Linked DNA regions of Ovis aries. The protein of the gene in region 1 purifies or fractionates together with the protein of each later gene. This does not show direct contact. Links are inferred from orthologs where the notes say so. Each region holds a gene or a part of one and is shown in the gene's direction. Other genes may lie near its edges.

The links.
Region 2: the proteins of UTP4 (region 1) and UTP15 purify together in Homo sapiens (co-immunoprecipitation; 4 studies listed by BioGRID and IntAct, counting the BioPlex papers as one, with this or other methods). This does not show direct contact. The link is inferred for Ovis aries from reciprocal best matches to the Homo sapiens genes UTP4 and UTP15.

Annotation. Positions count from the first base shown.
Region 1 is NC_056067.1:35,906,092-35,916,381, forward strand, and holds part of UTP4 (U3 small nucleolar RNA-associated protein 4 homolog), read left to right. Parts: intron 1-1,552; 5' UTR 1,553-1,554; coding exon 1,555-1,713; intron 1,714-3,884; coding exon 3,885-4,076; intron 4,077-4,989; coding exon 4,990-5,074; intron 5,075-6,525; coding exon 6,526-6,615; intron 6,616-10,290. UniProt on the Homo sapiens protein: Ribosome biogenesis factor. Involved in nucleolar processing of pre-18S ribosomal RNA. Part of the small subunit (SSU) processome, first precursor of the small eukaryotic ribosomal subunit.
Region 2 is NC_056069.1:8,206,320-8,214,802, reverse strand, and holds the start of UTP15 (U3 small nucleolar RNA-associated protein 15 homolog), read left to right. Parts: upstream 1-2,354; 5' UTR 2,355-2,532; intron 2,533-7,264; 5' UTR 7,265-7,338; coding exon 7,339-7,428; intron 7,429-8,386; coding exon 8,387-8,479; intron 8,480-8,483. UniProt on the Homo sapiens protein: Ribosome biogenesis factor. Involved in nucleolar processing of pre-18S ribosomal RNA. Required for optimal pre-ribosomal RNA transcription by RNA polymerase I.

The DNA of each region.
Region 1 (10,290 bases):
CTCTAGGTCGGCCCCCCGGGAAACTCGCCGATTCCCCTCTGCCGAGGCCGGGTGGGGGCTACTCCAGACATCCCCGGAGAGGGAATGGGCGGCGGAGCCCTCGCGCGCCTCGGAAGCACGCATAGCCTAGCTGGGCCGAACGCGCCTTCTCTCCTGGCAGATTCTTCACCTTGAAGGGAGATGAGTAAAGGGGCGAACCTGACTCGAGTGCGTCTGTTGGCGGCGGCGGAGCTGGGGATAGAGAAAGTAATTGACAGATGCCAGATCAGTCCTGTCGCTTCATCCCGCTAAGAAGCTCTTGGTTTTTCCTGCCCATCAGCTCCACCGTCACCACCGTAGTTGAGTCTGTGATTTGCAGACTTAGCATGCAGTGGAGATGGAGATGTTTGCCAAAATGCAGGTTCCTTGACCTCCTCCCACCCCCAAAGACTGGAATTCTAGAGCTATGGATTAGTACCCGGAATCCTGCCTTGTTAGAGATCGTTTTGGTTTAGGAGTTCTGCGGACCTGACTTTGAGAGACTCCTTTAGACTGTCAACATTTCTTGCTTTCTTAGAATGATCGAGGTATTGATCCTCTTCTTAACCACCCCCAACCCCAGAAACCTCACGCACCAAATACGAAGGAGACTTTAGTTCTGCCTCGAATACAATTCCTGGAGAAGGAAGTGGCAACCCACTCTAGTATTCTTGCCTGGAAAATCCCATGGGTGGAGGAACCTGGTAGGCTACATACAGTCCATGGGGTCGCAAAGAGTTGGACACGACTGAGCGACTTCACTTTCTTTTCGAATACATTTGGTCAGCTCCTTGTGGCTCCATTCAAGCGCGCACTCCCAGTAAAAAAATGAGGTTATGTTCAGTCTTTTGCTCTAAGATCAAGTTTTAGATTCTCACCTCTCTTCCTGGAGCACTTCCTTTGGGCAGTTTGCGGGATTGCTAGGAGGCTGGGTGATGCTCTATGTGTTGCTTTTTGAATTTTTTTTTGTGGAAGAATCCTGAGCTTCTGGAGACTATTTGATAGATTCTGTGTGGACCATTAAAGCATCTTTAGTTGAATATTTTAAAATGAACCTCAGTCAGACTTCCCAGGCGGTCCAGGGATTAAGACTGGGAGCTTCTAGTGACGGAGGCAGGGGAACTAAGACCCCATATCCTCCCCACCCCCAGTTCCTGCCTGGCCTTCTCCCCACCCCCCAAAAATGGGGAAAAATAGAAATGAACCTCAGTGAGATACATTTGGAGTCTGCCACATAGAACCGTGGTACTGTGCTGCGCTTAGTCAATCAGTCGTGGCCGACTCTTTTCCACCCTATGGACTGTAGCCGGCCAGGGGCCTCTGTCCATGGGGCTTTTCCAGGCAAGAATACTGGAGTGGGTTGCCATGCCCTCCTCCAGGGGATATTCCCAACTCAGAGATGGAACCCAGGTCTCCCTCATTGCAGGCTGATTCTTTACCATCTGAGCCAGGAGGGAAGTCCAGAAGAGTGGTAATAAAAGACAGGAGATGTGATATACTGCTGTTTAACAATGATTCTTTTCTCCCCTCCTAGGAATGGGTGAATTTAATGTCCATCGAGTGCGTTTCTTTAATTATGTTCCATCAGGGATCCGCTGTGTGGCTTACAATAACCAGTCAAACAGATTGGCTGTTTCACGAACAGATGGCACTGTGGAAATTTATAATTTGTCAGCAAACTACTTTCAGGAGAAAGTAAGTCATTTGGGAGCCGGATTTGGTGGTGGTGATGTTAATTTTTTTTTCTTAAGTTTAATTCTGCAAAATCTTCTGTCTTTTTTGTATTCAAGGAGATCAGAAGAAAATGACTCTCCCCTACTCTCTCTGTTGTTTAGAAACAAAGAACAAATATACACTCTCTTGTCTGACTGATAAACTTAGAGCTTCAGTCTATGTAATGTTGGTTAGAAAGAGCCTACCTAGGAATTGTGGTGCTTACTGCCATTTGGAAACTGATGTTTACTAGATCTGTTGTCAAGATCATTGCTTCCTATCAGTCTCTGCACCATTGTAACTTTAGTAAAGTGGCTTTTCCTGCTGTGTTATTACCTATTTCACTGTTAATTCAGAAAAAAATGATGAGATGTTTTAATATCAAACTTTTTGGTGATGTGATAGCAAGAAGATGAATTCCTAAATTATCTATTTGAGAGAAGGTAGATTTATATACCTAATGTTTGGAACTAAAGACGATTTTAAATTAGGTAAAATATCATTTGGGTATATGCACAGGGCTATTACAGCAGCCTATTTTTCAAAGTCTCTGATTACAGATTTCAGATGCAGCAAAATAATTCAGTTCACATTTACTGAGTGCCTTGCATGCCCTCAACACCATGATACAGATGAATAGAAGGAAAAATGAATGCAGTGTCTTGCAGCGTAGTACTTGGAATTTAGGTACTCTGTAACTATTTCTAAATGACTGCAAGCATTAGGCATTAAGATGAATGTCAGAGGCCCTACCTTCAAAGGAGCTCAAAATCCAGTGGGGGAAAGATGAGTATACGGTTTGAAATAGTGTGGTCAGTTTTATGATAGACCTAAGCATGGGCATAGAATCTTAGTAGAGAGGTGCCTTGCTCTGATGAGGTGGGTTTAGGATTCCTGGAAAGGGATGACTTACCTGAGCTGACCCCTGAAGCAATAACAAGAGTTAAGAAATCACTGGTCACCAAAAATGAGTCCCATTCTATAGCATGAAAAACATGCTGTGATGCGCGCTTGTTGTATCCTGTGATTTTTCTTGTTATTATTGTTGCAACTATATAATTGTTTATATATTTGTTTAATGTCTTCTTCCCTCCTGAACTTCCAATTTTATGAAAAAGGGATCTTGTCAGTGATATGGCTGTATTCCCAGCATTTAGCAAGTGCTTAATACAAAGGCATCACTGAGTTAATACATGTTCAACGGGTCTTTACCTAGTACATCTTATTTTCCACTCCCATCGGTTTTCTGTTTTCTTGAACAATTAATTCAGTCTAGTCTTCCACTTTGTTTCCTTGTTCCCTTCCTGGCTATTCAAGATTGATTAGCTTGGGTGATCACTGTCAGATCATGAGAGTGAAGAGTAGGGACTAGTAGTAAGGAGAGTTATCTTCAATTTGTGTCATTGACTTTGGCAATTTGGGCAGACCATTTACAGATGCTCTGCTTTTTCAAGTTCAGCTAGGAAAAATTGTATCTCTCCCGGAGAAGGCAGTGGCAACCCACTCCAGTACTCTTGCCTTGAAAATCCCATGGACGGAGGAGCCTGGTAGGCTGCAGTCTAGGGGGTCATGAAGAGTCAGGCAGGACTGAGCAACTTCACTTTCACTTTCATTCCCTTTGGTGGCAAGCAGCTATAAGAATAAAATTCCTTGATTGTATGAATGCTTTTTGAGCAAGAAGAAAACACTTAGAAATCTGAGACTTGAATGAAAAGCTGGAGTGAGCTGCATTCATTTCTTTTATTTTCATTTTTTAGACAACATTTATTGGTGAAATTGGCCCACAGTAAGCAACATGTTTTCAAAGTATACATATTGATAACTTTTGACACATATACACCTTTGAAAGCATCGATCAAGATCACTACAATGACCTTTAAAAATCAGATGACATCAAATACAATTACTTGCAGACTTTATTGTCTGAAACATTTTGCAGAACTAGTCCTAGAAAAAGAAACAAAACCAACCGTATAACTAAAATGTGAGCCTAAAAAAATGAAAATATCAGTATCATGATCTTCAGATAGTGTGAAATTCCACACTAAGTTATTTCTAGAGGGGCATTTTAATTTTCCCCGTTTACCTGTGATCACTCAGTGCTGGCAGCTGGTGAATTCACGGTGGGTTGAGAAGTTATTGTGTTTCTGTAGTTTTTCCCAGGTCATGAGTCTCGGGCCACAGAAGCTCTGTGCTGGGCGAAAGGACAGCGACTGTTTAGTGCTGGACTCAATGGAGAAATTATCGAGTATGATTTACAGGCATTGACCATCAAGTATGCTGTGGATGCCTTTGGAGGGCCCATCTGGAGCATGGCCGCCAGCCCCAGTGGCTCTCAACTTTTGGTCAGTACGCAACTATTAGTCATCCAAACCGAGATTTCCTCTTGAGCCCATTTACACTTGCTTCCCTGTGTTCATAGGAAGGTAAAGTTATGTTGTGGCCAGTCGCAATTCCAGTCTGAGCCGAATTCCAGCAACCAAGCAATCAATTGTACCTGGATTCCAATAGGAGATACACGATTGGGGTTATTACTGGAGATGTAAAAATCCCTTGTCCTTTTGCACCCTTTCTGCTTCTACTTTGGATCTTGTTTGTTCATTAATGACACCAGAGGTTTCAGTTTGGTTCAGCATCTCCCAAACTGTGTCCTTTGGAATTGGGAGATACAGACACTGTCTTTTGTTTGGCTGCGCTTTGTGTTTTATGATACATTTTGCTTCAGAATTACCACGTGTTAAGTCCTTCCGTAGATTCACAACACACGTTAGTATATTAAGAGTTCTGATAGGTCTTTTTACAAGTCCACTTGTAGAACCATGTTTCTCAAAAATTTTTTGAGCACAGACTTAAGATTTCCCTCCTCCCCGCGCATTCTTACCATTAATTTTCTGTAATGAGTTACTGATTTTTTTTTTTGGTACTATTTTACAGTATCTTGACATATCTCCATGAAGGTGACACAGTTAACGGGTGTTTAATTCAGGCCTTCGTATCTAGCACAGACATGCCATGAAATCCTATTTCTCCTCCATGTCCTGTGCAGGAATTAGGCCACTCATTGGCCTGCTTTCTGGTTGGGATGTGATGGCTGCCAGGAACCAAATTTCTTGATACCAGTACTTTTTTCCTCTCACAAACTATTTTTCCTCTTTCAGAGCAAGTGTTAGCTTGAGGGAAGAAATGTATATATTTTAAATGTGTATATTTGGTTCTCTAAAATGCTTTCTTTGTTTTCCACCCCCTTTTCCATGATAGGTTGGCTGTGAAGATGGATCTGTGAAATTATTTCAGATCACTCCAGACAAAATCCAGTTTGAAAGAAATTTTGATCGTCAGAAAAGTAAGGGTTATTTGTCATCAGGGCAGTGAGTAGTGTTAACAAGAAGTTTTGTTTCTGTGCCACTGGAGATGGGATACTTTCCTATGGGTTCAGAGAATATTTTATCTGTGTGCCAACTTTCTGCGATGCAGGGTATATGCTAGATGCTGTCCTTAGCTCAGGTTCTCTTTACTGTGTAACATAACGTAGCTATGACTACCTGGTTAAGTAATAATAGAGAAAACTGGCAATCCAAAATAGGAAAGCAAGTGTTTCTATGTGAATCAATTTGTTAGTTCTCACTCACTTTAGTGAAGTTTTGATGAATGTGCATAAAGTCTCAAAACTAGGACTTCGCTGTTAGATAGGAGCTGTGGTTCTCAGTCCTGCTAGTACATTCAAGTTGAATGTGGGAATTTTATAGCCAGTTGTCCCTGTTCCAGCTGCACCTACTGACACTGACTTCCAGATCAGAGATTGGCAACCTGTTTCTGTAAAGACACCAGCTAATATTGTAGGCTTCAGCAAAGTAGTCCTAGATAATGCTTAAACAAATGGTCATGGTTGTTCTCACCTAAAACTTCATTAACGACAGCTCACCCCAGGTTGGCCTTTGGGTTGCAGTATGCTGACTCCTCTTCTGGAGAGTGCTGTCTGAGATGTTCTCTATGTCCAATAGTAATATTTATTCTCTGTTCATCAAATCCCTGTATGTTTGTTTTTAATATCTTGCAGGTGTTCTTTTTTTTTAATTACAAAGGTGACACAGTGTTGTTAAAAATTTCACACGTTTGGCTAAGGGTGAAAGAAAAGAATAAGTGGCTCACCTCAGTCTGTAGGCAACATTTTAAAATGAATCTAGACCTTGTTGTATCTTCGAACGGACGGATACATTTCCAGGAGTGCTTGCACTTGCTTTTCAGCTTTTTTTTTTTTTCATTTGCTATATCACAGACATCTTTCTGTGTGAGTTGAGTTGTGCCCATGTGAGTGGCATTCCATTTTATGGTGTTCCATAATTTGTTTGATCACACTCCTACTGATAGATACTATTATTAATATATATATATATTTTTACTACTCAAGCCAGTGCTGTAACGAACATTCTTTTCTTCACTTGGGCACTCTAGTAATATTTCTCTGTGGTGAAATTGACAGTGCAATTGCTGTGACAGATAGGCACGTTTAAATTTTGTTTGGTTACTGCCTGGTCACCCTCAGAAGGTTGTGCTTGTTTACAATCCTATCAACCATTTATCCATTATTAAAAGCAAGCATCAAATATGTCATGTGAGTCCCAGGAAAAAGTTGTTCCTCACCTGTTACAAAACAGTTCTTCACAAAAATGCAGCAGGTGAGCGCTAAGGCTATAGAACGCTAGTCCTGTAGATCACTGTGGAAAGAGAACTCAGTTACCGTTTGCTGTATATGTACGTGTATGTCACTTTCTCTTTGGTTGTAAAACTCCCCAGGTCGAATCCTGAGTCTCAGCTGGCATCCTGCTGGTACTCACGTTGCGGCTGGCTCCATAGACTATATTAGCGTGTTTGACTCCAAATCAGGTGACTGTTTTTCTCAGCTCATTTGGGATGTGGGTCTTGTTTGTCAAATTCACATTTCTCTGTTTCCAAAAGCTGTGTCCTTGTGCTTTTACCAACCTTCTGAGTTGTCACTGTGAATTTCATATCTTTCTTAGATTCCTACTGCTGCTTTTAGGAGAACCTTGATTCTTCAATTAAATACAGTATTTTTCATCATAAGAATTCACACTAAAATTTGCCTTCAACTCTTCATAAAAGAAAGTGTCTGTCTTTGAGGAACCTAAGTTCTTGGTAACACAGTAACGTATTTCCTCTGCTCTTGGCCTGGAGGATTGGCTGATGGATTCCTTCAGTGATGAGACTGACTTCAACCTGTTAGGTGGCTGGCTGTACTCCCCTCTAAGATGAGAGGATATACAGGACAGGGATGTCGCCTTTTTCTTCCTCTGTACTGCTTAAGCAAGTTTTTTATTGTTATCAGTCATATGCATATAGTCAAAGAATTCCTTAAGGCTTGAATCCCTTCTCCTGCTCCTCAAAGGCAATAACCTGCAACTCTTAGCTGTTTCTTTTGGTATTTGTCTCTGTGCTATACATAGTATGCTTAAAATACTGTGTTGTATTTTCTCAGTTTTAGCCCCTTATTTATTGACTTCCACTCTATTAACCCTCTTTCTTTGCACTTTGCCACATGTACCCATATTTCTTCTTGATCCTCCCAGTACGGTTATTTTGCAATTTTGTTCAGATTAGCAGTTGATGTTTTTAATCTCAGACTATATAGGTACTACTTGCAGAGTAAATGTCTTTTCCTTCCCTGTATGGTTTTTTTTTTTAATTTTATTTTTAATTGGAAAGTACCCTGTATTCTTTTCGTTAATATTGTGTGTCTGTCTCTCTCTCTCCTGTGTGTGATTGATACATATATCAGTAATTCATCTCTACATTCTTCTAGTTGTATAAGGTAGGTTCAGCTACATCTGGTTTTCTTTCTCATTTTGGGTGGGGTGGGGTACTCTGCACGGCTTGCAGGATCTTAGTTCCCTGGCCAGGGATTGAACCTGGACCCCTGCAGGGAAAGCACCAGACCGCAACTAACCACGGACCACTAGGTAATCCCCACTTCTGGTTTTCTTTCTACTGCTTTCATCTCCTTGAAGGATTCTCTCCCAGAGCCTTCTGCCCTGCCTCAGTCGAGTGGAGCCAGTTTCTGGGCCTGCTGCACAACTCTGAGATCTTGAATTCTGGTTTTTCAACCATTCCGGGAATTCCCTTTGCTTGTCTCTCACGTGGAGTTCCCCGTGGCCATGTCATGCACTTTCCTAGTTTATCACTTTGTTTGGTGGATCCTGAGAAAGGGTTTTTATGAGAAAGAATTCTAAGTTGAAAATTATTTTTCCTTAGAAGGTTGAAGCCATGGCTCTGCTGTTCAGCTTCTAGTGTTGTTATGAAATCTGATGCCTTTTTGGGAGTAGATCCTTTGTGTAGGTTTTTATGGTTTGTTTTTCCTGGGAGTTTTTAAGATCTTCCTTTTATCTTTACTGTTCTGAATTTAATAATTCTTTGTTGTGTGGATCTGTTAATATCAATTATATGGGACAACTTGATAGGTTCCTTCAATCCAAAAACCCATGTTTTCCATTTCTGAGGAAAATTCTTATAATCATTTTCTAAATGAGTTGCTCTCCATTTTTTTCTAGAATTTTATCATTTGAATGTTGGCTTTTCTCATTTATTTTCTTTCTTTCTTTTCCCTGTTACTTTTGATCTCTAACTTTTTACTCTGCTTCCTGAGAGAGTTTGTCATCTTTATCTTAGTCCTTTTCTTGAGATTTTCCTTTCTGCTGTTTGTTTCTAGACTTCTTCTTTGTTTCCTGAATGTTCTTTTTTATAGCGTTCTCTTTTTATTTCATTATATAGTATGAACTCTTGCATTATATAGTACTAACTCTTCTCCAAGACTATTCTCTTCTCCGACCATTACTTATTTTTCTCTGCCCCTCTCTTGGGCCTCTGCCTTCCATACTAAGGCTGTCCTCCAGTGTCTAGGGGTTCCTTTCATCACCAGACAAGTTTATTGCATCTAAACTTCACTGAGGAATGGTCTGGCTTGACTGTCAGTATGGGGAAGCTCTAAAGACAGGCTGTTTAGGTCTTTTGTCGTGTACAAGTCATATTTCCCAGAAGTGTTTTTTGTTCTCCTGTGGGGTGATAACAAGCAGGGCCATCAGCATTCTAAGAAAACTGGTGTTCTTAATGTTGAGAGACAAGTTTTCACTTAATCTATGCTCCATATACCGCTCCCACCCTCAGTTGCAGTGATACCCCTCTTCAGAGAATAAGTTTCTGGTCTCTGAGAAGTGGAATTTGGGGAGTTGCCTGGCTTCTTAGCTGTGAGGCAGGACCCGAGGGATATCATATCAGTTCAGTCACTCAGCCGTGTCCGACTCTTTGCAACCCCATGGACTGTAGCACGCCAGGCTTCCCTGTCCATTACCAACTCCCAAGCTTACTCAAACTCATGTCCATTGAGTCGGAGATGCCATCCAACCATCTCATCCTCTGTTGTCCCCTTCTCCTCCTGCCTTCCATCTTTCCCAGAATGAGGGTCTTTTCTAGTGAGTGAGTTCTTCACATCAGGTGGCCAAAGTATTAGAGTTTCAGCTTCAGCATTAGTCCTTCCAGTGAATATTCAGGATTGATTTCCTTTAGGATGGACTGGTTGGATCTCCTTGCCGTCCAAGGGACTCTCAAGCGTCTTCTCCAACACCACAGTTCAAAAGCATCAATTCTTTAGCGCTCAGCTTTCTTTATAGTCCAACTCTCACATCCATACATGACTACTGGAAAAACCATAGCTTTGACTAGATGTATCTTTGTTGGCAAAGTAATGTCTCTGCTTTTGAATATGCTGTCTAGGTTGGTCATAACTTTTCTTCCAAGGAGTAAGCATCTTTTAATTTCATGGCTGCAGTCACCATCTGCAGTGATTTTGGAGCCCAGAAAAATAAAGTCAGCCACTGTTTCCATTCTTTCCCCATCTATTTGCCATGAAGTGATGGGACCGGATGCCATGATCTTAATTTTCCAAATGTTGAATTTTAAGCCAGTTTCTTCACTCTCCTCTTATACTTTCATCAAGAGGCTCTTCAGTTCTTCTTCACTTTCTGCCATAAGGGTGGTGTCATCTTTATATCTGAGGTTATTAATATTTCTCCTGGCAATCTTGTTTCCAGCTTGTACTTTATCCAGCCTGGCATTTTGCATGATGTACTCTGCATATAAGTTAAATAAGCAGGGTGACAGTACACAGCCTTGACGTACTCCTTTTCCTATTTGGAACCAGTCTGTTCCATGTCCAGTTCTAAGTGTTGCTTCTTGACCTGCATACAGATTTCTCAGGAGGCAGGTAAGCTGGTCTGGTATTCCCATCTCTTTCAGAATTTTCCATAGTTTCTTGTGATCCACACAGTCAAAGGCTTTGGCGTAGTCAATAAAGCAGAAGCAGATGTTTTTCTGGAACTCTCTTGCTTTTTCGATGATCCAACGGATGTTGGCAACTTGATCTCTGGTTCCTCTGGCTCGTCTAAATCTAGCCTGAACATTTGGAAGTTCACGGTTTATGTACTATTAAAGCCTGGCTTGGACAATTTTGAGCATTACTTTACTAGCGTGTGAGATGAGTGCAATTGTGCA
Region 2 (8,483 bases), on another chromosome or scaffold:
GATGAAATACAGTAACATTTTCACCTCCATTACTAGGTCCCAACAAACTGTTCTTAACCCTTACCTTCCCTTTCCTATTCCTGAATACCGCAAACTGGATTTTTAAAAAATCAGGCTAACAACAAAAATAAACTTTTCACGTAAAAAATATTAACCTCTAATCTGAGGTTCATTTTTTAACAGTTTATAACTTGCTCTGTTTGAATTTAAGAAAAAGGTAGAACCCATTTGTACCCAAATATATCACGATTCCTGAGTAGTGAAAGGCTTTACAAAGTCTTGGTTATGATAACTGAAGACATATTTATTAATCAGTTTTTTTTAAATTTTTATTTTTACTTTATTTTGCTTTACAATACTGTATTGGTTTTGCCATACATTGACATGAATCAGCCACGGGGGTATATTAATCAGTTTTTGTTCAGATCAAGTGTTGGCAACTTAATACAGGTTTTTATTAATATGAAAAATGACAATTTTCATTTTTATGAAAAATAAAAAATAATGAATTGGTTTCCTTTGCTTTAGCATCTCTAGGATATTAAATTTAAGTATTATTTTGGCCCCAATCTTTGTAATAAGTAGTAAGAAATAAGGATTAATGATTTTTATCCAAATATTGTCAAGACATAAACTCAAAAAACGTGAATTCTCAAAATACAGGTTATAAGCACACCTGTTACTGAATCATTTACCACTGTTTTAAATGAGTTTTCAGTAAGGTAATCACTGGCACTTTCCTATGGACCTTAATATATATAATCTGAAGAGAAATTTCATTTTTGTACCTAAATTTGCTTCTAAAAAAAGAACTCCAAGATATATAATTGTCCTAGATATATAGTCACTGAGACAGGAAGAAAATAAATAGCATCCAGTTAATTTTTTCATAGTCTTTCCAGTGGCTCAGTTGTAAAAAATTCGCCTGCCAATGCAGAAGATGCGGGTTCAATCCCTGTGTCGGGAAAAAGGAAATGGCAACCCACTCCAGTATTCTCGCTTGAGCAACCTCATGGACAGAGGAGCCTGCCAGGCTGCAGTCCGCGGAGTCGAAAAGAGTGGGACAGGACTTAGGGACGAAACGAAACAATTTTATCACGTTAAGGCCACTGCCTCTTAGAAATTTTGAGGGTGCAGGGTGTTTTAAAGTTGTAATTAATTGGAACTAAAAGAGGATCACAGTGGAGCAAAAGTTGGCAAATCATACATTTTACAGATAGCCCCTGTTTACGTTTTAGAACATCTTCCGAGATTTTTATAACAATCCTTTTTATGTTTTTATTTAATTTTTATAACAATCCTTTGGGTAGCCAGGGCAGGTAATCATAATCAATGTCCACCGTAGAGAAGAGAAACAGGGAGCTCATGACTCCCATCACTCGGTTCATTAAAATAAAAAGCAGCACTAAAGCAAAAGAAACCAATTCTTTCTAAACCAAGTGGAAATAGAATGCTTATCTTGGCACCAGTCTAGAGAGGAGGAGAGGCAAAATTGACCGGTTAAGCCATAATTTTTAAGTATAAGAAAAGAAGGGGAGGGGAGGGAGACGATCCAGAAGAGGAGGCGGGGAGAAAAAAAGAAGTAAAGCTAGGGTCACCTCAACCAGTCAGAGCCCAGGGAGAAGGGGTAGAGCGGCCCCAGCGAAATAAAATGGGCAACTGGGTTATTCCCCAGTGAGTGCTAATACCAGGAACTCCCCGCCCCCCGTTCTTCTTCATCCTGGAGCTGCCCTACGAGGAAAGGAAGGTGCTATGAGAATGAATGATGCCTCACAGGCGACAGGTGTCCCGGCGTCCCAGGACAGGAACCCGCTGGAAGGGAGACTGTGGCAGGAGGGAAGTCTCGTTCTGTCGCCACCCGCCAGCTCTGCCCGAAAAAAATCCCAGCGCGGCTCCGGCACGGCGGGCGGAAACTGGCTCAACCGCGGCGGGCTGGCCCCGGCAACAGGGGCCGGAGGCTGCCCGGGTCGGGGCGCAGGGCCTGGCGACCACTCTCGACAGTCCACAGCGAGTCGGGCCTCTCCATCTGCGGCCAGAGTCACTGCAGGACCTCAGCCAAGCCCCGGCTTGTTGTGATGGCGACGTCACTTCCGATTTCTGCTTTTGGTTTCCGGCCAAAAAGCGTTCAGCGTCGTTGCAGCCGAGAGAACTTCCAGGTATTTTCCCGCCGCTGTGCTGCGCGATCTTTACAGTCCCAGTAACTACAGAGAGAGCGTCATTTCTCCCACGGATCTGGGTCTATCGCCAGGCCTTGGCCTCGCGCTCTGGCCACGCCTCCTCCTCCACCATAGCCCCGCCCACAGGACCCGCCCCTGCGTCACCCAGGCTGCGTGCGTCTCGGGAGCCTGCGCCCTGACGTCACCTTCGTGCGACCCGACGGGCTCTCCTGTTCGCAGCGTGTTTCAGGGGTTTCTTAGAGTATCCACGTGATCTTCTGCATGTTCTCCTGCATAGTCAAGAAGAGGACTGGTGGGGTCCAAGAAATTCTCCTTGACGCTGGGGTGTCTCGGCGGACCGTCCGGGCCCACGGAGGTAAAGGGGGCTCCCAATGAAGGTACCCCAGACTCACATCGGGCCTTCCTTGCTATCTAGCATGTTTCCTTGGGGCTTCCCGGTCTCCGCGGAGTGGCTAAAGCAACTCCTTAAGCAACCTCTCAGGATCCTCGCAATTTAGTTTCTACCTAGATTTTCCTCCTCTACGGTCACTGTCCACTTCTACTGTCCTCCGTTATTAGTCCCTGGAGTAATCCACACCCTTTCAAAGTAGTAGGCCGATTTCCATCTCTGTCTTTGCTTATGTGGTTCTCTCAGTTTCAGGGCCCGCTCTTATTAAGTGGTTAATTGGTTTTAATATTAAAGGCCCAACTGAAATGCACCCTTGGAATGTTTCTGGTAGCCTCCCAGTTAAAGTCTCGTCTGAGCGTTCTGTTTTCTGTATATTACTTATAGCGTGCTTTTGGTATTCTGCCTTGTGATGTAGTAGTACCTAGTTTTCATTCAGTCCCGGTTTTTTTTCAGGCTGTTAGCACTCTGATTGTTTTCTTCCTGTTCATTTTCACGTCACTTCTTGCGTCCGTGCTTTTGCACCGTCTTGCTTCCCCTCTCCTGCCTCTGATGCTGTTCGTCACTTTAATCTGGCAAACCACTGTAAAGTACTTCTTTCGAGGCAGTTATGTTCTCCATCGCCTGTATAGTTGACCCTTGAACACTGCGGTGAGGCAGCTTTCGGGGCCCCTACCTTCTTGGGAGGGATAACTTACAGTGGACTCTCCGTGTATGGGATTCCTCCTGGGCTCTACTTGTGCTTTCAACAAGCTGTAATTCTGTGTACTGTGGTATTTACTGTTGAAAAAAATCTGCTTCTAAGCAGACCCACACAATTCAAAACTGCTGTTCAAGGGTCAGCCGTGCTCTAGTGAGGGGCTAAGGCCCACAGACAGGCTAGATCTGGCCAACTGTCTGTTCTGGGGTCGTCAGTGAGCCATGTATTCTTTTTATAGATGAATGTTTGTGATTTGTTTAATGATGGATATGTGCTAAGTGGCTTCAGTTGTGTCTCACTCTCTGCCATCCTATGGACCTTAGAGCTCCCCAGGCTCCTCTGTCCATGGGGATTCTCCAGGCAAGAAGACTGGAGTGCGTTGCCATGCCCTCCTCTAGGGGATCTTTCCCACCCAGGGATCGAACCTGAGTCTCCTGCATCTCCTGAATTGACAGGCAGGTTGTTTACCACTTTGCCACCGGGGAAGCCCTATTTGATGACAGGACACATCATTCAAAGTCCATGAAACTTTCTCCCCCTTCTCCAAAGAGTCTCTTTCATTCATAAACAGAATATCATACTTACAGTTATTTGGGGGTAGCTTGTTAGTAAAAAATTTGGAATTTTTTCTTTCTTGGTATGTAAGTAACTACATAATATCCTCCATTTTGCCTGCTGGCCTACAAAGCCTAAAATATTTATTCTTTGGCCTTTTACAGAAAAACTCTGTGGACTTGTGCTTTATAGCAGTGTTTGCACCACCCATGGTTTTAATTTTGTTTCCCATATAACCCAGCGCAATGCTTCCTTTTGTTCCTTTCACAAATATTTCTTTGAAACTGAAGTGTTAGTTGCTCAGTCATGTCTGACTTTTTGTGATTCCATGGACTGTAGCCCACGAGGCTCCTCTGTCCATGGGATTCTCCAGGCAGGAACACTGGAGTGGGTATAGTCATTCCCTTCTCCAGGGGATCTTCCCAACCCAGGAATCGAACTCACGTCTCTTGCATTGCAGGCAGATTCTTTACTGTCTGAGCCAGGGAAGCCCCCACTGAGCAATTGTTTTTAGTCTTCCAGACATGAAATGTTCAGTTTTAGTTTGGCCCCTAGAGTCGTGTCTGACTCTTTGCCACCCCATGGACTGCAGCATGCCAAGCTTCCCTGTCCATCACCAACTTCCAGAGCCTGCTCAAACTGATGTCCATCGAGTCGGTGATGCCATCCAACCATCTCATCCTCTGTCATACCCTTCTCCTGCCTTCAGTCTTTTGCAGCGTCAGGCTCTTTTCCAGTGAGTCAGTTCTTTCCATCAGGTGGCCCAAGTATTGGAGTTTCAGTTTCAGCATCAGTCCTTTCAATGAATATTCAGAACTGACTTCCTTTAGGACTGACTAGTTTTATCTCCTTGCAGTCCAAGGGACTCTCGAGTCTTTTCTAACACCACAGTTCAAAAGCATCAATTCTTGGGTGATCAGCTTTCTTTATGGCCCAGCTGTCGCATCCATACATGACTACTGGAAAAACCATTGCTTTGACTAATGGGGAGAAAAGATCATTATGCTGCCATATGATTATGTGAATTGACAGAAATACAGTCGAGTAGGTTATAAAAGACAAGCCGGTAACCTAGCTAAGGACGTCAGAGGTTTCCTGGAGGATGTGGTTCTTGAATATTAAATGATAACATATTGAAAAGCAGAGACATTACTTTGCCAACAAAGGTCCATCTAGTCAAGGCTATGGTTTTTCCAGTGGTCATGTATGGATGTGAGAGTTGGACTGTGAAGAAAGCTGAGTGCCGAAGAATTGATGCTTTTGAACTGTGGTGTTGAAGAAGACTCTTGAGAGTCCCTTGGACTGCAAGGAGATCCAACCAGTCTATCCTAAAGTAGATCAATCCTGGGTGTTCTTTGGAGGGAATGATGCTAAAGCTGAAGCTCTAGTACTTTGGCCACCTCATGCGAAGAGTTGACTCATTGGAAAAGACCCTGATGCTGGGAGGGATTGAGGGCAGGAGGAAAAGGAAACAACAGAGGATGAGATGGCTGGATGGCATCACTGACTCCATGGATGTGAGTTTGAGTGAACTCTAGGAGTTAGTGATAGACAGGGAGGCCTGGCGTGCTGCGATTCATGGGGTCGCAAAGAGTTGGACACGACTGAGTGACTGAACTGAACTGAACTGAGGAGGTAGATAAAGATCTTTCTTGCCAGAGAGGACAGATGAAGACAGATACTGAGACAAGGAAGAGCATGGTGTGTTAAGTGAGGAAAAAGAAGTGAAGCTGGAAAGATAAGCAAGGGCAAGATTACAGAGGGCCTTAATTCTGTTTGAAGGAGCTTGCACCTTCTTTTCCGGGCAGTTTTGGGCTTTGTAGCAAAAGCTAGATTTGCGTGGTAGTTCGGTAACTCTGACGGCTATTTGGAAGACAGACAGAATCAGGGAAACCTTATATTGCACTATTTCAGTAGTTGAGAAGATGTGAATTAGCGCAGTCTAACTAGGTAGTATGGATATTATGGAGTTTAGAAAGATTTGGAAGGTAAAATCAGCAGCTCTTGCTAAATATTACATGTTAGAAGTGAGAAGGAACGACAAGACAGACTGATTCAAGATTCCTAGCTTATGCCAATTACCAGCTGAAATGAAGAGTCTCAAGAGTATATGAAGGCTCTGACCATGTCTGTTTCACTCCGCATTGTACCCCAGTGCCTAAAACAGTGTGTTACTTTGTAAGTACTTCAGTGAACAGAAAAGTTTCCCTTTTTAAAATCATGAATTGCCATGTGTCCTCAAAGCCTTTAAAATATGTTGCACCTGTGTATTTTGGTGTTACTGATACAGTGTTTTCAGACTTTTGAGAATAGATGAGTTGCTCTACTGAATCATTCCTCTGTTGCAAATAAATGGTTTTGGAAAGACATTTCAGCTTAATTGCATGTCAGTTAAAAGTTTTAATTAGTTGTATGGCAGAAACCAGCACAACATTGTAAAACATTTAGGTAAAGTTATTGTAAAGATCCTATGGTATGTGAAGAAGTTTATGCAAAGAAACACTCTTGATATTGTGAAAAGTTATTTTTTAAACCTTAGATTTAACAGAATAAATGTGGAATTATAAAAGCTTTAATTAATCTTTATTCTGTCACTTTAATTTAGAATTTCACTTCAGAATTGTTTTATTCTTGTTTTCTTTCTTACGTTTAAGCCTTTTAAAATTAACTTAATTTTAATCTTCTTCATCAGAATAGTAGATTTTTATTTTAAGCTTTTAAATTTAGTTTTATTCTTCTACATTAAAATACCAGCTCTGCTTTCTTTTTGGCAGTGTTAGGCTTTCAGGAAGTCAGGTGCCTAGTGAAGTGAAGTTGCTCAGTCGTGTCCAACTCTTTGTGACCCCATGGACTGTAGCCTACCAGGCTTCTCTATCCATGGGATTTTCCAGGCAAGAGTACCAGAGTGGGGTGCCATTTCCTTCTCCATGGGATCTTCCCGACCCAGGGATCGAACCTGGGTCTCCTGCAATGTGGGCAGACGCTTCACTCTCTTGAGCCATCAGGGAAGCCCGAGGTCCCTAGACTGTGTTCTTACAGGTTAAATGTTGTCTTGAGTTTAATTTCAGGGAGCATTTGTAGTTGCAGTTTCATGTTAATATTTTTTGCTGTTAGTAAATGAACGTTCCAAGCAAGTGTGTTTCTCTCTGCTTTGGCAACTGGATGGCTGAGCCAGATTTATTCCCAAGGGCTGTAAATTGGTCAGTGAGGTGTGGGAACATTTGTGTGTAGTCTCTGCGTATAACTGAGCAGATAGTTCACTTTGGTGGCCCTATCTGTGTTCTTCTTGTTTCCCTTAGATTGTCTCTTCTGTATTAACGTTAAATGGTTACTGATCACTGATCTGTAAGCTACCATACAACCTTTGGAAAAGACACAGAGTGAGAATCATAACTGCGTATAGGTTTATGAATAGTAGTAATGTGTATATAAAATATTTTTTTTCAGACATAAGACAGTCACTTTAATCACACCAGTTTCAAACTAGTTACCCTTGGATAACAGTGCAATTACATGAAAGTATGGCTGGTTATAAGCCTGTAGCAATCCAGACATATCCTGTACTTGGTGAAAAAATCACCCAAGATACACTGTACTGGAACAACTATAAGGTAAGTGTAGACAAAATTAAGGGGGTACTGTTTTGCACTTAATGCCAATTTCTCCAGCATTTGTTAGACTTTGGATATGCTAGTAAAGAGTTAATAACTAAAAATAATCTGTCAGTAGCTTATAGTTTGGGTGGAAAATTTGATGTCTGATTTTTAAAGTCCATATTCCCTAATCAGTTTAATAATACAGGTATCTAACACATGGTAGATGATTAATCAGTGCAAGTGAATTAAACTTTAGAATTTGAATCTCGTATGAAAGAAGGTTTTAAAAAATTTTTTTTTCCTAATCTCAGGAGGAAGAGATGTAAAATGAATTCTGTGCCATCTGAAAAGGCTAATTAAATGATTTTTCTTTATAAAAAAGATGATTGACTTCATAGAAAAATGGAAAGAGGTTGGGATTGGAAAGTTTATAGGAAAGGAAATTTAAGTGGCCAATAAATATACTAAAAGAGCTCCAACTTCACTCATAACTGAATAAATGCAAGTTGAAACAATAATTGGATAATTATTGAATAATAATTTAGATACCTTTTCATGTATAATGTTGGCACAAATGAAAAATTTTGATCATCATTGCTGCTTGAGGTAGGGAAAATTGGCGCAAACTTTTCAAAGGGCAATTCTGGCGTTATCTCTTAAGATAAAAATAACTTGTGGTCTTGTAAATTACACAGCTTGCAACTTAATCAGTGAATAAACTCTCCAAAATTTGTATATGTTATCCTTATGTGTAAAGATGCTTGTTGAAGTATTATTTATAATATTAGAAATCTCAGAAAAACCTGTTTGTTAGTAGTGGACTGGTAAAGTAAATTATGGTATATCTTATAATGGATGGTAAAGCTATTGCTCATATGAAAAGTTAGCTAAGATGTGTTAATGAAAAAAAGGCAAGGTACAAAGTAGCCTGCATGGTTGTAACTCTGTTAATACTCTATTATTTTTCATTAAGACACCTGTTCAGATCAAGGAGTTTGGTGCAGTGTCAAAAGTAGACTTTTCTTCCCAGCCTCCATATAACTATGCAGTCACAGCTTCTTCAAGGGTAA